3 linked regions of the Drosophila melanogaster genome follow. The protein of the gene in region 1 interacts with the protein of each later gene in a pairwise test. Each region holds a gene or a part of one and is shown on either strand. Other genes may lie near its edges. The genes, in order: Rap1, PDZ-GEF and Rgl.

Region 1 (6,044 bases):
CCCCAGTTCCCCAGTCCAAAGTAATCTCCGGGCAAGAACGAAATCTGAAATCTCCTATCCCAATCTCGACACAAAGATGCGATGGTATTACCCTAGTTTTAACCTTAAGTGCAATTTTTACCCTACCGTGCAATACCCCCATATACCCATACATATATTCCTTGTTTGTATACGTTTTGTTTACCCTTTCGTTGTTGCCAAATTAGCGTAGTTAAGTTTTATGCATAATTTGTAATCGATACTAAGGCGGCCTCTTTTAAGCCGCGATTGCTAGAGATTGCTAGAAAGCCACACTCACTCACACGTTCGACTGATTATAAAAAGCGTTAATTAACAAGCATCACACCAGGAATCGGAGGCGAGTCCCCCAGTATAGCACTTTGCTTAGCCCAAAACCTAGTCATGAAGCGGAACTCGAGCCACTTATTGTACAGTAATAGAAACTACCACGTAACTCTGTCTTAAAATTCACTTTCTACATTTTAACTGCTGGCGAGCGATTCGCCGGCTTCTACGAAAAGCATGCATTATGATTGTATATCTCAACCCGCGAATCTCTCGGAACTTGCATACCATATCAGCTGTGGATACAATGCGGTTTTACTACTCCTACGCCCCAACTTAACTCCGAATCGATCCTATCGCAGATCTTACGCTGGATTAACATGCGTGCTATAAACTAGCAGAATATTATAATTATAAAGACGAGCTATTTGATTGTAATTGTATATGTATAAATATTTGAATAACAACCTTATATAACTATTCCAAGTATCAAATACAGATATTTCAAAACTTCAATGCAATCGTCTTGTCTTTAACTTCTGAATGAACTATGCTAAGAATAAGGCATACGCTCCACAAATGAATTTATTTAATTTTTATTTTGTTTTTGCATTTCCTTTTTAATTTTTTATAAACATAATACATTTATTAATAATTAAAAGATGCTCGATCATGTCGACCTACTGCGTCGCGAATTCGGGACTGCCAGGATTCTGAGATCAGAGGCTCTGTGTGGGGTCCCAAAAACGCGACCAGTAGGGAAACAAGTTCGAAAAAATGGTTTTTCAATTACATTTTTCACACGCTCATTATTACATTATGTTATTGTAACGGTTGGTTTGTTTGTTGTTTATTATGTTCAAAAATGATTTGTATCTTTATCATATATTTAATATATACGCTTGGGCTTAGGTTTTATTTAGTTTACTTTTAATGTTGGTTGTTGGCTGTGTTTAGACTTTGATTTAAGGGCATATTGGTTACTACTCGTACGCGAAGTTTATGCAATGTTTATTATGAAATATTTGTAAATTACTTCGTTTTTAGGTTTCTTTTCATTTTGGGATTGACACGACAGTTTAGTTTGTGTTAAACCATTTCTTATGTATTAAATATTCTAGAATTTGTGGCTCTCTCTGCACTTCCTGCTCCTCTTCTTTTTACCAGGAAGCGGAAATGAGCCTTGGCCGCAGGAGCCTCTTGTCTCGATTCCGCTTCCGTTTTCGTGTAGCTTTTTCGCTCTCTGAGAGCGCGCCGGAAATGTGTAGGTGTGTTTGTGTGTGTGAGTTCTGGTTGCGAATGTGTGTGTGTGTGTGTGGGATGTGGCTGGTATGTGTGTGTTTGGGGGGGGGGGTTCAGATTTGATGCAACTGATCGTGGTAAACAATTAATTGTAAATTTGTTTTAAACTAATTTCTAAGGGGGAGGGGGCTCATTACTTCTGGTTGTTTGCAACATTTTGACATCATTTGCATACAATATTTTTATAAAATATGTTCCTTATTCATGATTCATTTCCTTTCTCGATTTATTTGCTCATTTCTCTCGTGGAATTTGTTATCTTTATCTTTTAGGCGTACAATTTAGTTTAGCTTAATTTGATTTGTGTTTCGAATGTTGTTTTCGGTTCTATTTAAAGATATACTTGTTGTTGGTTGGGCTTTCGCGTGTATAAGTAGTTGTAGTTGTAGATGTGTAGAGTACAATCGAAAAGAATCAATAAATACGAATGTTTTAGTTTACGAATGTTTCACTTGTTGCATAATTTAAAAAACGGCTCAAAAACGAACGACAAATATATTTAAATATGTAGATATATATATATAATAATTCCCCATATGAATTAATGGTTAATCAGCGAAAAATAGTACAATCATAATAGTAGTAAATGGTAATAATTACAAAAACTTGAAACAGTTAAAAACATTTGTCAGTTTAAGTTTTGCTTGTATATAGTAGATTGGTTATTTCAATTCGACAATTGCCATCGGATCCAAAACGAAACGAGAACGAAAAAAATTTGAAAATTCTTTACTTTACGCTTATACTTTTGCTCCTCTCTCCTCCTCCTCTGTTATATATTTTTTTTTTTGTTTTTTTAGTTTTGGTGGTTTTTGGAAGTCTTATAGCAGAACACATAGGGACTTTTTCGGCTTCTTCTGTTTCTTCTCGGGCGACTTCTTGTTGATCTGCCGGACCAGGTCGTAGAAAATATCGTTCACATTCACTTTGGCTTTGGCTGAGGTCTCCATGAAGGCGCAGTTGAACTGGGTGGCCAGGTTCTTGCCCAGCTCCTTGCCGACGACGCGCTCCTCTTCGAGGTCGCACTTGTTGCCCACGAGCACCATGGGCACATCGTCCGTGTCCTTCACCCGGAGTATCTGCTCGCGCAGGTCCTGCAGATCGTTAAACGTCGATTGCGCCGTGATCGAGTAGACCAGCACGAATCCCTGGCCGTTCTTCATGTACAAATCCCGCATGGCCGTGAACTGCTCCGTACCCGCCGTGTCCAGGATCTCCAGCATGCACTGCTGTCCGTCCACCTCCACCTGCTTCCTGTAACTGTCCTCGATGGTGGGATCGTACTTCTCCACGAAGATGCACTGGACAAACTGGACTGTCAGCGCGGATTTGCCCACGCCGCCGCTTCCAAGGACCACGATTTTGTACTCACGCATGCTGGCTGCTGTGCTGTTTGTATATCCTTCGTATATCTCTTGTTTTGTGCTAAATTCTAGGGAAGAGACCCAAAATGCAGGTAGGCCAGGTAGGTGGGTTCACTTTCCAGGTGGCTCTCCCTCGAAAATCACTTGTTTTTAGGCGTTGTTCGGCGATTGCTTGTCGGTTGCAGTTGTTTTTTGTTTTTGTTTTTTTTTGTTGCTCTTGCTTATTAGTTAATATATGTTTTATATTTAAAGTAAATTGTTTGTTGTTGTTGCTTTTGCTGTTGATAACCTTTGTGCCGTGTAAGTGACTGCGTGAGTGTGTGTGTGTTAGTGTGTGTGAATGTGTGATGGTGTTTGTGCTCCCTCTCTCGCTCGCTCCTTCCGCCGAGTTGCGTGCGTTCAATTGTTGCTTTTTTGAGCGGAAATATCCTGGCTTGACTGTTCCTCGAGACGGCCGTCACTGCTACCGAGAGCACACTGTGGGGGGAGTAAGAAGAAAGGCGCTTTTTAGACACAATAAACGCTAAATTCTTTGCGAGTCTTTTTGGTTTGCGTTTTTTGGTATGCTGAGAACTGACTGCACTCCCTCTTTTCTTCTTCACAACTCTCTCGTTCTCGTTCTCGCTCTAATGATTCATTTTCAGGGTTGCCAGGCGGCCGCACCGAACGCAGCGCCCCACTGCAACGCCTCAAGCCGGAGATTCCCTTAAATTTCACTCAGCTCTCTCACTTAAAATGCACTTAAATTGCACACTGGGCACCCATGTGCGTACATCGGCCTACCGAACGGCCACTAAACAACTGAACCACGCAAATGCACCCGCATGTCGGGCGGCAGGGCAACTCTGGGCGGAGTTTTACCTATGCTTTTCACTCGCTGCCGCCAACTGCTTGCTCCTTGGGGACCGCTTCACCTGTCGCCGCTCGCGAATCGCTTCACTTTTAATTTAACACTAGTTTGCCTTGTAATTTCTTTACTTTTTCGCCCTCAGCGAACAGCGAACACTCAAAGACTAGGGCTGCCAAAGCATCGATGGCACTATCGGCACTCGCAGGCCGAGGGCTACGCACGACTATCGCAATGGCTTAGCGATGACACTTTTAAAGCATTGCTGTAAATTTTAAAAATAAACTATAAAATTTATATTCGAAATATATTTGATTCTTTTAAATTTATATTAGCACATCAAATTTTGGAAATATTTAAATTGTTATTTTCCCTATATATTTTTTTTTAATTTTAATTTTGTTAATACGATTTCATATTGAAATTGTTTTCTACAGTAAGTGATATTTTATGGTATTCCTATTTTATTTTTTAAGCATAATTTGCAAATAATATATAAGCTGTGTTGCCGATAGTTTAAGAAAAAATTCTAATGCTTGATTGTTTCATGAATCAGCAATATGATTCGCATTCAGAATTTTAGTCAGCCGCATATTCACATTTTCGAGATACAGTTTTGAATCATAGAATTTATCATAAGGAAAATAATTACAATTTATACAAAAATTGCAATATCACGTTTTTGGAATATTATTGTAGGGGTCATAATATTCCAAAAACGTGATATTGCAATTTATGTATAAATTGTAATTATATTCCTTATGATTAATTCAATGATAATAAATATAATAATTTCTTAAAGTGATTAATTCCATGAAAAACACACTCCACTTTAAGATACCGCTAAAATGGTCAGACCGAAATCTCTTCCAATGCTTCAGCGTCTTTTCGATTTAATCAATTCATATAAACTATGTATATTTAGGAAATCAACAAAAGTTAATATCTAACTAAAATTTCGTACAAAATCCAGCGCGGTCATCGACCTAGCGGATCTTGGTGACCATTCCGGCGGCAATGGTGACTCCCGCCACGCGAAGCATCACGCGTCCCAGCTCCTTGAAGTCCGCATACCGCTCGATGCAGATGGGTCTGCTGGTTTCCAGTTCCACTAGGGCACACGAGTTGTTGCCCAGGCAACGCGGCTTCTTCTTGACCACCTCGCCGGTGCTCTTGTGAATCGATGCGGTCAGCTTGCAGACCACGGCGGGCTCTATTAGGGATTGGTGGTGCAGCAGCACGGGGAAGCCCATGGTAATGGGCACCTTGACGTTGAACACGATTATGCGGGCCTGGAATCGCGTTGTCACCGGAATAGGGGTTTGTGGATCGCTGATGATGCAGCCCACGGTGACGTTGTTGATGTCCAAGGCGGGCAGGGTGACGGAGACCTGATCGCCGGCGAACACGCAAGTCTGTGGGAATTCGTTCATGGTAAGGGATTTCACTTGGGCCTGCTCCCGGCTGGCACCCACCAGCACCTTGTCGTTCAGGCACAGCACTCCGGTTTCCACTCGTCCCGAGATGCAGAATCCGGAGCCAGTGCCCTTGTAAATGTCCGACACGGACATTCGCAGCGGTCTGTCGATGGCTCTTTCGGGGATCTTGAAGTTCTCAATGACATCGAGGAGGTGGCGTCCACTGTACCAGTTGGTCAGGGCGGGTTCCTGGGCTTTCTTGGTGAGGTTCTCGCCGGTTAGTCCGGAACAGGGCGTAAAACTCACATCGGAATCCTTGAAGCCCGCCAGTTTGAGGAAGGACTTTAGCTTGGTCACAATCTCTGTGAATCGGTCCTGGGACCAGCCAACGGTGTCCAGCTTGTTGATGACCACGCCTAGCTGGTTAACCCCCAGGGATCGCACTAGAATGGCGTGCTCTCTAGTCTGTCCGCCGAGCTCAAAGCCGGATTCAAACTCTCCCCTTGTAGCATCCACCACCAGAAGGGCAACATCCGCCTGTGTGGCACCGGAGATCATGTTCGGAATGAAGTCCTTGTGCCCCGGAGCATCCAGCAGTGTGACGATCTTGGTCTTGGTTTCGATACGCGACTGGCCCACGTCCATGGTGATGCCGCGGGCCCGCTCCTCGCCCGTCTCGTCCAGCACCCAGGCATACATGAAGCTCTGCTTGCCCAGCTTCTTGGACTCCTGCTCGTGCTTGTGCATCACTCGCTGCGAAACGTTGCCGGTGTCGTACAGTAGATGGCCCATCAGCGTACTCTTCCCGGCGTCGACGTGACCAATGAC
Region 2 (5,471 bases), on another chromosome or scaffold:
CAGCGGTTCCACCGCCATGCTCAAGAGCCTGCATAATCTCCTTGAAGCCAAGCAAGTTGCTCTTAACGCTGATGCTCAAATGGGTGGTGCCTGTGAGTATCTCGAGGGCTCGCTTGCTAGTCACATGGTCCAGCGACTGTCCATTTACTTCGTGAATCTGATCGCCTCGCTTAAGGCCCACATCCTGGGCTTTTGATCCCGGCTCGACGTGCGAAATGTAGATGCCCACTGCTGCGTTTCCAGTGGCTATGGCGACGCCTCGAAGCTCGTAGCCGCCCACGATGCGGAAGTTGAGCGGCTCGTCACGTGACGATCGAGTGAGGGTACAGCTGCGCATCCGTGCTTTGGCGGCACAGGCTATGTGCAACAGGCGCAGCTGACTTAGCAACTTTTTTCGCTCTAACAGTGCCTCAAAGACTTCCAGAAACTCCATCATCTCATAGTCCGCCTCGAAATCGGTGAAATGGTTGTTCACCCAGAGGAGCACGACGCGTGTTACGCGATCTCGCAGTTCCTGCGTCTTGTGCGCATCCACCTGCTCCAAATCAAACCAATGCAGCAACTTGCTGGTCACCTCTTGTGGGTTCTGAATAAAGATGCGGTGTGTGAGCAAAAAGTCCTCCACGTATGTGGGATCGGTCATCGAGTTTTCCTCGACCAGCTGCTGTAGCAGACGCTCTGGAGTACCGCGGATAACTACGTGACCACGCTTCATATTTAGCGAAGCCGAAGCTCCTGTCGCCGATCCGCCACTGCCAGCAGAATCAGTGCCGGCGCCGCCAATGGACCGGAGTTCAGTGACCATAACAACGAAACCATTCTCGTCCTCATGTCGCCGGGTATTCTCCTCGCCTTGATGCTGAATACGGTAGTAGTCCGTCTGCGTAATGCACACAAATTGGCAGTCATCGCACTTCGTACGCATCACACCCCGGTGGTACAGCTTGTCCATGGTGGGTAGAATGCCGAAGGAGTCTCCCATCTGCAGCTCTTCGCGACTGCCATTTGCATGCTCGATCTCCACCGCTCCGTTTATGAGCACCGACCATGAGTCCAGTTCCTCACCATCTGACATGACCACGGTTCCCGCCTTGTCCACAACGGCGAATACCATCACGGAACATAGTGCTCTTCGCACTGCCAGCGTAATGTTTGTGAATGCCTTAAGGCCCTGCGTGAACTCAAGCAGTACTTCCACATCTTCCTCGCTGCGCTCCGCCGGATCCTTTTCCAGACAGTCACGCACGGCATCCCGCACGGTAAGACTCTAAATAAATCAGAAAAAAAAAGCCAAATAAATAATCAGATGTTCTTCCTTTTCTAATGACATTCTAACACATCGTTGTAATGTATACATTGGATGTTTTATCCACTTACATCCATGCTCTCCGCCAGGTCCTCCTCGTCAGAGTCCACAACGGACTCCACCAGGCCGGAGAGGTCAATCTCCTCGGCCTCCAGCGACGAGGCATAGTTCGAGGCCATTGTATCGCTGCCGCTGTACGCCGAACTGGTGTCACTGGAGTGCGAGCCCCGGTTGCATTTTTGGTGCAGTTCCGGCCGGTTGATTGTAGTCGAGCTGCCCACCACCACTCCTGTGCCTGCTATGCTTGTGGGTGGATACTGTTGGGGAGAGAGGTCAATTTAATTCAAGTACAATAAGCTAATCTGCGCGCACTCACATGATGTCTGATATGGTGATACGGATCCATGAGGGGTAGCTTTTGCTGTGGATGCTGTCTACAACGACATGCCAACCTTTGCCCCGTTTGATGTGATATGTGATGAGATTAGACTTTATACTTAACTGAAAAGGTTGAGAAAGGACCATGGTTAGAAACAAAAGAATTAGTGTGTAAGTCATCTTATAAGTAAAGGATTCAATACGCTTCTGTTCTTTATAAACCTCTTATTTTATATCAAAATTCCGTACGTCTAAAGAACTGAAATCGGACTTCTAAAACCACAATCAACTTTCTGTAACTTGTTATATCCTCATGATCACGGATATAGATAAAAGCAACAATAGTGGCAACTTTTAAAATTGCCATTTGTTCATTGTTTGCTTTTGTAACCGAAAACAATTGGCCGAGAGATTAGCCATTGTATAGCGTTTGGGCCAATTTGAAGAAAGGGTGGCCCAAATCGCGGATGTAGTGGCATCTGCGGAGCTTTGATTGCGATGCACACGGCGCTCGAAAACAAAGGTTTTCGAAACGAAATTGCTGTGAGAGTTTGTTAGTCAATTCTTATTCGGCTTTTTGTTTGCTGGCCGCGCAGGTTGCTGCTTTTGTTTTTTAATTTTTGTTTTTTTTTTTTTGCTGGGTTTTTTTTGCTGCCCGCACTAACACACTTTCATTTTCCGCCACAACAAACACAATGCTGCCAATAAATTAAGGCAAACAAAAACAATCGGAGAGCGGGCGAAAATTCTCATGGGAGATTGAGTATGCGCTGCCTACGCGTCGGCGGAGTGTGCATGTGTGTGGGAGCCAAAGCTGCTACTGTACGTGAGAGCGATTGCTGAGCGTTTGCATGTGTGTGTGCGAGGGGGCGAGCGACACAGAAAAATAATAACAAAAAATGAAACGAAAATTGTAGGCGACGACATCCGAAGCGCGGATAAGCCATACACAACAATAATAATAGGAGCATTGCAAAATCAAAGCGTAGTAAATAAAACACACTTTGCACCACCCACACAGACAGCAGACGCACTAACACACTCGCACAGCCAGCAGATATGGGCGTGTTTGGTGCAGTTGAATGGTTTTTGCAGCCAGCAAGGGTCCTCCAGTGGCGGGGGGTGGGGAGTTGGTTGGGACTGTGTTTATGCCCCTGCACTTGCTAATTATACGCACTTTTTTTTTAGACGCAAGTAGTTTCCCAGCTGCCCTTTTTGCGTACACTGCTGCATAAAGAGATTCAAGCAGCCTGTGTGTGTATTGGTATTGTGGTGCGCATTGTTGGAATTTCTTTCACTCACACACACAAACACACATCTCGACGAGGAAAAGTGGCTGTTGCACTGCAGTTTTGTGAGCGCTTTTCGCTCTCAGCTGCGTGGCCGAGTGTGTAAGATGGTATTTCGAGTTGCTTTCATTTGGTGAATTAGTTTTTCGATTCGAGGGCGACCGTTTAATTTAGAAAAATTAAGTAGCTGAAAACTAAAAGTCCGACGCGTCTTACAGTGTGACCACACCGCTCAGTGATACCAGGTTTTCTATACTATCTATGACTATCGCTGAATTGCGGTATTTAAATACCGATTGGTTGGTATAGATTGTTCACTAAGTTCCTTTTTAATACGCTAGTGGCGCCACTTCTGTTTCAAAAAATACCCGCTGATCTGGGAATCGGTTATTTCTGCTTTATGTTTTTTAAAACATTTATTTATAGATGGCGCCTTGGTGATTTTTATTATTTTCATACATTACCGTTATCAATTTATAAATTGCAAACTTTTTAAAACAAAGTCAAGTTTGCCCCAGAAAATCGAAATGCTGTGTTTTTAAGGATTTTTCTTTATTTATAATCTAATGCAATTTCTTCCATTTCAAAAAGCGTACAATTCTGAGTTTCATCTTTAGAGTTCTTTTTATTAAACATGATTGTGCTCAACGATTTTCTTTCTTGTCTCTACTTTTTGCTTATTTATATTTTGAGTTACACTGATCTTTAGAAAGGGAAACGTATCGTTTAGTTTATGGTTATGCTAAATTAAAATAATTATATTTATATTTAGTAAAGAATCATTTTAAATATTTGGAATACATGAAAACCATTGAACTCTTAACTGAAATAATGTAAATGTCGTCTATCATGCAAATTTAAAACGAACTTACAACTATGCTTATGATTAAAACTTATTTTCTTAGATCGAGTTGATATAACTGCATATCTTTATTCAGCGAAACCTTTTTAAGCATTTGATAGAATACAAATTAAATAAAATAGATATACGGTTATTAAGACTTTGTACAGCACAAGAAAATAGGAGGGAAAAGGCACAGTAAAAATTTGGTTAAACAAAATACATTTTTGATATGCGTCTAATTGACTTTTGTGTAGACTAGAGATTTAAGAACGAATGTCTGCGATTAGCCTAGGTTTTTAACTCGAACGAGTTTAGATTTGCAGAAATACAAAGCAATTTGCACAATTGTTTTCACACTTCTTTGTTTAAACAGTTATTGTCAAAATTATATGCAGGCTTTAAATATTTTTTTTCCATCGCGATACATCGTCAAAATGCAGTTGTAATTTCCAGGAAAAGGGGCAGCAACGGCAGGTGGACATTATTTAGTTTTTATAAATATAGACTCATTTCACTTTACTCTAGTAAATATGTAAAGCATAATTGATTTGATAGATAGCGTTCAGGTGGAGGAGCGATAGGTACACACATATGTCAATGTTTTCATTTTCGATTCCATTTAATTATCCATTGGATAGAATGCACAAATATTACCATACGGAGTTTTCTACCAATATTATTTACACTTAAACTCTTTCAATGTGTATTATTCGAGGGATTTTATAAGCTATTCACTTGATTGTGTCCTTAGAAGTATAATATTTGTTAGCGATTCCTGTGTTTTACCGTACAAACAGTCGTTACCTCTGATATACATACATATTTGGATAATTTCCGATTGGGCATACCCAGTCGAAGAATGTGTAACGTATTAAATTCGGGGTTTGATTTGCGATTGTTATTCATTAAGTTCTCTACATGCATTTCTCTTTAAAATTACGTTCTTCCCGGATAGCTGTCGAAATTGATAATTGAATTATAACCTGCTAAAATCATGTTCAATTCGTATTTCTACGCCTAGAATGTTTCAATACATGTGTGTATGGGTCTGTGGCTTAAAACCTAAATTCTTGCGCTGCAGATACAAATGTATCTCGCGGAAACTGGGTCGACTCGACTCGTCGCGCTGCCAGCACTCGCACATCAGATCGTAAATCTCTCGCGGACAATTCGGAGGCATTGGCAAAAGTTCCTAGAAATACGAGGCAACATAATTCTTTGACCACATCAATAATTGTTTCTATAGCCACTCACATGCATTTTGTAGTCCCGATATATGAGGCCGATGTTTTCAATTACACTTTTGTCCGACAAATGCTCGTAGGGCTGCTCCCTGGCGAAAGTCAATATTTCCCACAGGGCAACCGCAAAGGACCACACATCCGATTTCGTTGTGAACTTGCCCTGCAAAGAGGTATTATCAAACCATGTTAGATAACAGATAGATCATTTAATTATTAGGAGATACACATATATAAAACCAAGGGAAATTGCAAAAAGTAAGTATATTTTTGAAGCGGTAAGTATTTGGTTGTCCCACATTCATTTTATCTTAGCTCCTTTTAGCTCCTGTTCATGTATCTAAAACCTTTTGCAGCCTTTCATTATACGCAACAGCGTTCCACAATCCGCCCCCTTATCAATTCCGATTTTT
Region 3 (5,125 bases), about 12 Mb from region 1:
ATTTCGCAAATATAAGAAAGCTTCTCCAAGTTACACTTTGAACCGAAAACTGATTAGAATAAATCCTTCAAAGCTCCAGGCCAAACAACCCAGACCCATATATGTATGTATGTACATATTCATATATGTTTGTAAATATGCGCAATGCGCATACTTATAGAAATCTTTTTGTTTGAGATTCCTTCGTCTAATCAATATGCACATATATGTATTGCATTCGATTCGTACCAAGCCCCAGAACCTAAATACACTCATTTCATTCACGATTATTATTACAGCGAATGCCAAACGAGACCGAATGAAACAGAACACAACTCGGCGAGGAAATGACGATTTGCATACGGTTGATATTTTACCTTTTGAGTTCGAATGATTCATCAGAAAATACCCAGCCCGTGCAAAAAAAACTGCGGCAGAAATAAAGCTCATTAAGTAATGAAATAATATAGTATTATAATGCCAGACGACGGGCAATTGTCAAACATATTCGTGTTTGTGTATACAAGGCACCCAATTATAAAGAAATAACATCCAAGTATGAGGGGGCGCCTGATTGGTCGGCCCACATCATCATCTGTCTATATATAAAGCAGGTGACCTTTCCTCCAGAAAAGCGTGTGGGTGGCGTTTTCTGCTTTTCCGCCCAGGGGGGGTTTCTCTCAATTACAGATCTTCGCAAAAATAGCCAGAAACCAAAACAAAGGAGAGTCGAACCGCAACATCAAAGCGAAATGGTACTGCATTTGCATTTGGGGTGAATTTATCAACAAACAGCCATACAGCTGAGGTCACAATATTGATAGATTAAAAGTGAAAATACATCTAAGGAAATGGATCAATATTTAAATGATGAAACATGACTCTGAGATAGTAAAATAGTATTCCGTTTGAGATATTCGATTTATAGGTAAAAGTATTGCAATTTGTATCGATGTAAAAACAGTTCTTTGAGAATTTCCTAGTTCTTGGCGGCAATAGATTAGGTGTCCGAAATAAGCAATACATTTCGCTTGTCTTGAAAAATGAAAAGGCATTTATTTTGACCGCAATTGTAGACACAAATCTCTATTTTTAAATCGACGACCCCTGGCACGAGTTTTGTGAATTGCAGCAACAGAAGCAGCGGCAAAAAAAAAACAACGCAAAACAAAATTGAAAACGCCAAGGGAAAAAAACGACTGAAACTAAACACCAGTCTCTCCCCCTTCCCTCTGTCATCCCTGAATGACTGACTGACTAAATGACTGACTGGCTAAATGACTCTGACTGACTGTCAGTTACATGCGACTGCATCCGACGCAGTCAACTTGACAACATTTGCTGCTCCCTCGGTGCACATAAAAAAAAATGAAGGGAATTATGATCAAATTTAATTGCATCGGCCTACTAACACAGGTCCATCAAGATTTTACATCGTTTGTGTTTATGAGAAATAATAGAACAGGCATTACTTGGCATTCGATATTCTATCCCTAATGTCTCCTTTTCGCTATATTACAACATAACGAATATCAACCGATGCCACATCCTGTTGCAATTTTTAATTTCAAAAACCATAATTCATATCCGAATAAAACTTTTATTTAACGTGTATATGTACATATGTATCTGTCTCTACTGCAGAGCAGCTGTCCCGCTCTTTCGGCTATTATCAAACCACATCCGTTGGGCAGCAGCAGAGATGATGTGCAAACAATACAAAAACATATCAACCTAAGCTAAAGTTTGAGCCACTGAGCATAGCTCCCCACGTAAATTATTTTTTTTATGCATTCCCCCATCATTCGCCAGTGGGTAAAGGAAGTGGGGGGCGGAGCTTTTGTTTTGCATACAATGGGAGCTGATAAATGATTTCTAGGGGCACTCCGCATAAATGGATGATAAAGAAACGAAAATATAACTGGGACTGCAACTGAAATGATCTCAAACTGATTCACCTTTAAATTCATAGCTTTAATTCGTTATCTTTCACCTGCGAAACAAATTATATACATCACTTAAGAATACCCTACACCATTTGTTCCCAAGCATAAGTATACCAATTTTGAATGCTTTTTAATTAGCATATAAATTCTCGAAACTCCCAAAACAAAGCTTCTCCAAGCTTGGCAGTTCCCATATGATTCATTTATAACTTGTAAAAAATTCCCGACTTTTATCGATTCCTATTCCTTCCCCACCAAAAGAAGGTGTTTTATTTCTGGACTCCACTTAGGCGTAAAGTTTCCATACCATTGCATTTTTGCCCATAATCATTGTTGACATTTCCTTGTGAATCGACACCAAGACACTACAGTAATCCCTCTCCACACAAAACCAGATCAAGTACACAGCAACTAGTTTTCAGGGTTGAAAATTCTCGGACAAAAAAAGGTGCGCATTATCGATAATTATCCATGTCGTTGATTTAAGGGCGAGGGTCAATAGTAATAAAATTCAAGCCATTAATGTTTTTATCTTATCAGGAGTTTGTTACCGATGTATTGCTTATTGCAGAAATATGATGTACTTGTTTTAAATATATTGTTAAAAAAAAACATTTCAATGTATCAACGTTCGAGTGACCACTGTAAGGGCAGGATAAGAACCAATAGATCTAAAGTGCGCTCCTTTCTAATCCGGCCTGATGGATTGCGTTGTTTTTTTTTACCATTTGAGATTGGCTTTTGTTCCTTGAGAAATGTTGCTGAGATTTCCACGGATGCACTGCTTGGGTTTTCCTATCCGTTATCCTCTTCTCGTCGGTTCGCTTTAATTTACACGTCTCCTTTAATGGCTTCTGGTGTTTTATTTTTACACCCAAGTGCAGTTCAATGGGTGGTGGGGGTGTTGTATAAGTAAAAGGCAAGTAAAATCGATATTCCTGCTGCTCTTTTTTTGTACTGGGCTTCTGTGTTCTGGCCGCTATACCGTTGTTCAGCTTCCTGGGAACGATGAGTCAACGGGACATAGAGAAACACACCCAGTAGCAGTAGAGGTGGGGGGGTTAATATTGGTATTTGTTCTCCGGTTAGTGGTAAGTGGTGAATCCTTGGTCCGCGAAGAAGGGTTCGTTGCACTACGTCTATGCGTCTGCCTGGCAATCTCCTCTTTGCTCTCGTGCTTTAGCACGTCTTCCCTACTATTTATTTGTTTTCACTTTTATCTCTTTTCCTTTTGCTAATGCTGCACTCGCACACACGTAAACGGCAATTTTCGGGATACCGCTTGCATTTTCATTCGCTTGGCTGAAAATCTCAACATGAGATATCCATGTTATTACAAAAACATTATACAAAATTCACATTCGGGGGTTTCTCTACTTGGAAAAGGGGAGCGTAGGGGGCGCAGAGCGTAAAACGCGCGCGAGACACACACACAAAGCTCTCGGTAGAGAGACACGCGACGCAACCGCCGCCAACAACAGTCGAAGACGAACTCTGCCCGCTTAGAACAAACGACCGCCCGAAACCCCATCGTCTGTATCCAACTCTCGCTTACTCTCTCCCACACGCTCTCTCTGTCGGGGATCCACTCTCTGTCATTAAGAACGCAAGCATTTTCGGGGGATGTTCTTACTCGACGGATGTAACTGTAGCATCCCCGTTCTCTCAATTGCACTCTCTCGTTCGCTTTTCTCAGGTACTCAAGTTTTCGACCGTGGGAACTTCTAGCAAAACACCCACTATGGTTTTACACCTTGCGTGAAGGTATATTGGTTGCATCGAACAAGTTCAAAAACACAGTTAACATTAACAATGCATTCCAATATTGGTTCCGAATTTAAAACACCTACATATTCTCACAATTTATAGTCAATAAACTTAAAATAGAACTTTTTCCAGATAAACTGTCAATTTACCATTGAATTGGTAATTGATTTTATTTCTTTTGCACTATGGTAACTTGGCCTTTTAAATCAATTTAAACAAATTTCTTTAAAACTTCTTCCTAGTGACTGTTGACACGCTAAATATAAATAAATAAGTTTCTTAAAATAAATACACGGTATATATATGTCGTATCAGAACAAACATAAAAATCTTACTTGCTCTGGCCATTCGCGCTCTGTTTATGTTTTTTCTGATGAGCAATTGACTGTTGGCTTGTTTGTTTCTAATCAGAACTCTCTCTCAACTCTCTCTGTCAATTTTAGTATTTTTTGGTATATATTTACACTGACCCCCACAATAGCATTTGTCTTCATTATAGCTTCACATTTATCAATGGAATTTATGGGCCTCCTAAACCTGTAGGATTTTATTCCAAATTTTTGATTAATGCCAACAAAGAAATTTAAATAATTTTCTTCCATGTTTTGTTTGGCTTTTTAGGCTATCATTTGACCAACCGTTCAAACATGTGAACTGGAATGACATAATTATGGAAATGGGAATACCTGAGTGTTGTCTGGTATTTGGTAACGATTTAAAGAAAGCTGGCGGGGAAATCAATAAGCAGAAATATTAATAAAACGTGCATTTACGTAAGCGCCAATCAAACGATGCCTGCTGTTTTGTTTGTTGCTTGTAGACATTGGATAAATATTCGAGACCATGAGCACGTCAATTGATCAATTAGCGAATGCAACAAGTTTCAATACAAAAAAAGGCACTGATATTTGTTATGCACTTGGTGATGCTGATAACGAATTTTATATAAAGCTAGAAAAAGAGATCAATTAAAGATTGACCCTCAATGTGCTTCATGATGTTGGTGTCAAAATAATACGGTTTAAAGCTATAGTAAATTTATTTAAAATTATTGCTGTTCTCCCTATCAGAAAGTATGGAGAATAATATTTTAAAACGTAAACGTCATAATATATATTTAGATGAAAAATGTTGTGCTCCAAAACTTTAGTCATACGAAAAAACCGCTCTTGTGTTGTGATCGTGATAATAAATATCACAAAAATTATAAATTAAATTATAAATTATAAATTTCTTTAATTCGATTTTTCGGCACCACTCTAATCAAAATGTTGCAACATATTTTTCATTAACTTAGTCTACGGACTATTTGACCAAATAATTAGCAGACCTGGGCAAAAAGCCTCCACACAAAGTTCGGTGCTCTGCGAGATACTTTCAAAATGACTTTCTATGCATTTCCCTGTTACTTTCTACGCTTGCTATATACTAGA

Evidence for each region.
Region 2: the proteins of Rap1 (region 1) and PDZ-GEF interact in a two-hybrid assay, tested with the Drosophila melanogaster proteins (one study listed by BioGRID).
Region 3: the proteins of Rap1 (region 1) and Rgl interact in a two-hybrid assay, tested with the Drosophila melanogaster proteins (2 studies listed by BioGRID).

Annotation. Positions count from the first base shown.
Region 1 is NT_037436.4:1,858,249-1,864,292, forward strand, and holds Rap1 (Rap1 GTPase), read right to left. Parts: upstream 3,992-6,044; 5' UTR 3,813-3,991; exon of another isoform or gene 3,682-3,812; intron 3,569-3,681; exon of another isoform or gene 3,429-3,568; 5' UTR 2,964-3,428; coding exon 2,409-2,963; 3' UTR 867-2,408; downstream 1-866. Other genes in the region: HBS1, read right to left, coding at 4,785-6,044. UniProt on the Drosophila melanogaster protein: Ras proteins bind GDP/GTP and possess intrinsic GTPase activity. Plays a role in photoreceptor cell determination.
Region 2 is NT_033779.5:6,321,509-6,326,979, reverse strand, and holds the start of PDZ-GEF (PDZ domain-containing guanine nucleotide exchange factor), read right to left. Parts: upstream 3,214-5,471; 5' UTR 2,862-3,213; intron 1,808-2,861; 5' UTR 1,713-1,807; coding exon 1,683-1,712; intron 1,624-1,682; coding exon 1,378-1,623; intron 1,268-1,377; coding exon 1-1,267. Other genes in the region: Ddr (discoidin domain receptor), read right to left, coding at 4,845-5,009, 5,072-5,221.
Region 3 is NT_037436.4:13,916,541-13,921,665, forward strand, and holds the start of Rgl (Ral guanine nucleotide dissociation stimulator-like), read right to left. Parts: upstream 3,426-5,125; 5' UTR 2,654-3,425; coding exon 2,651-2,653; intron 1-2,650.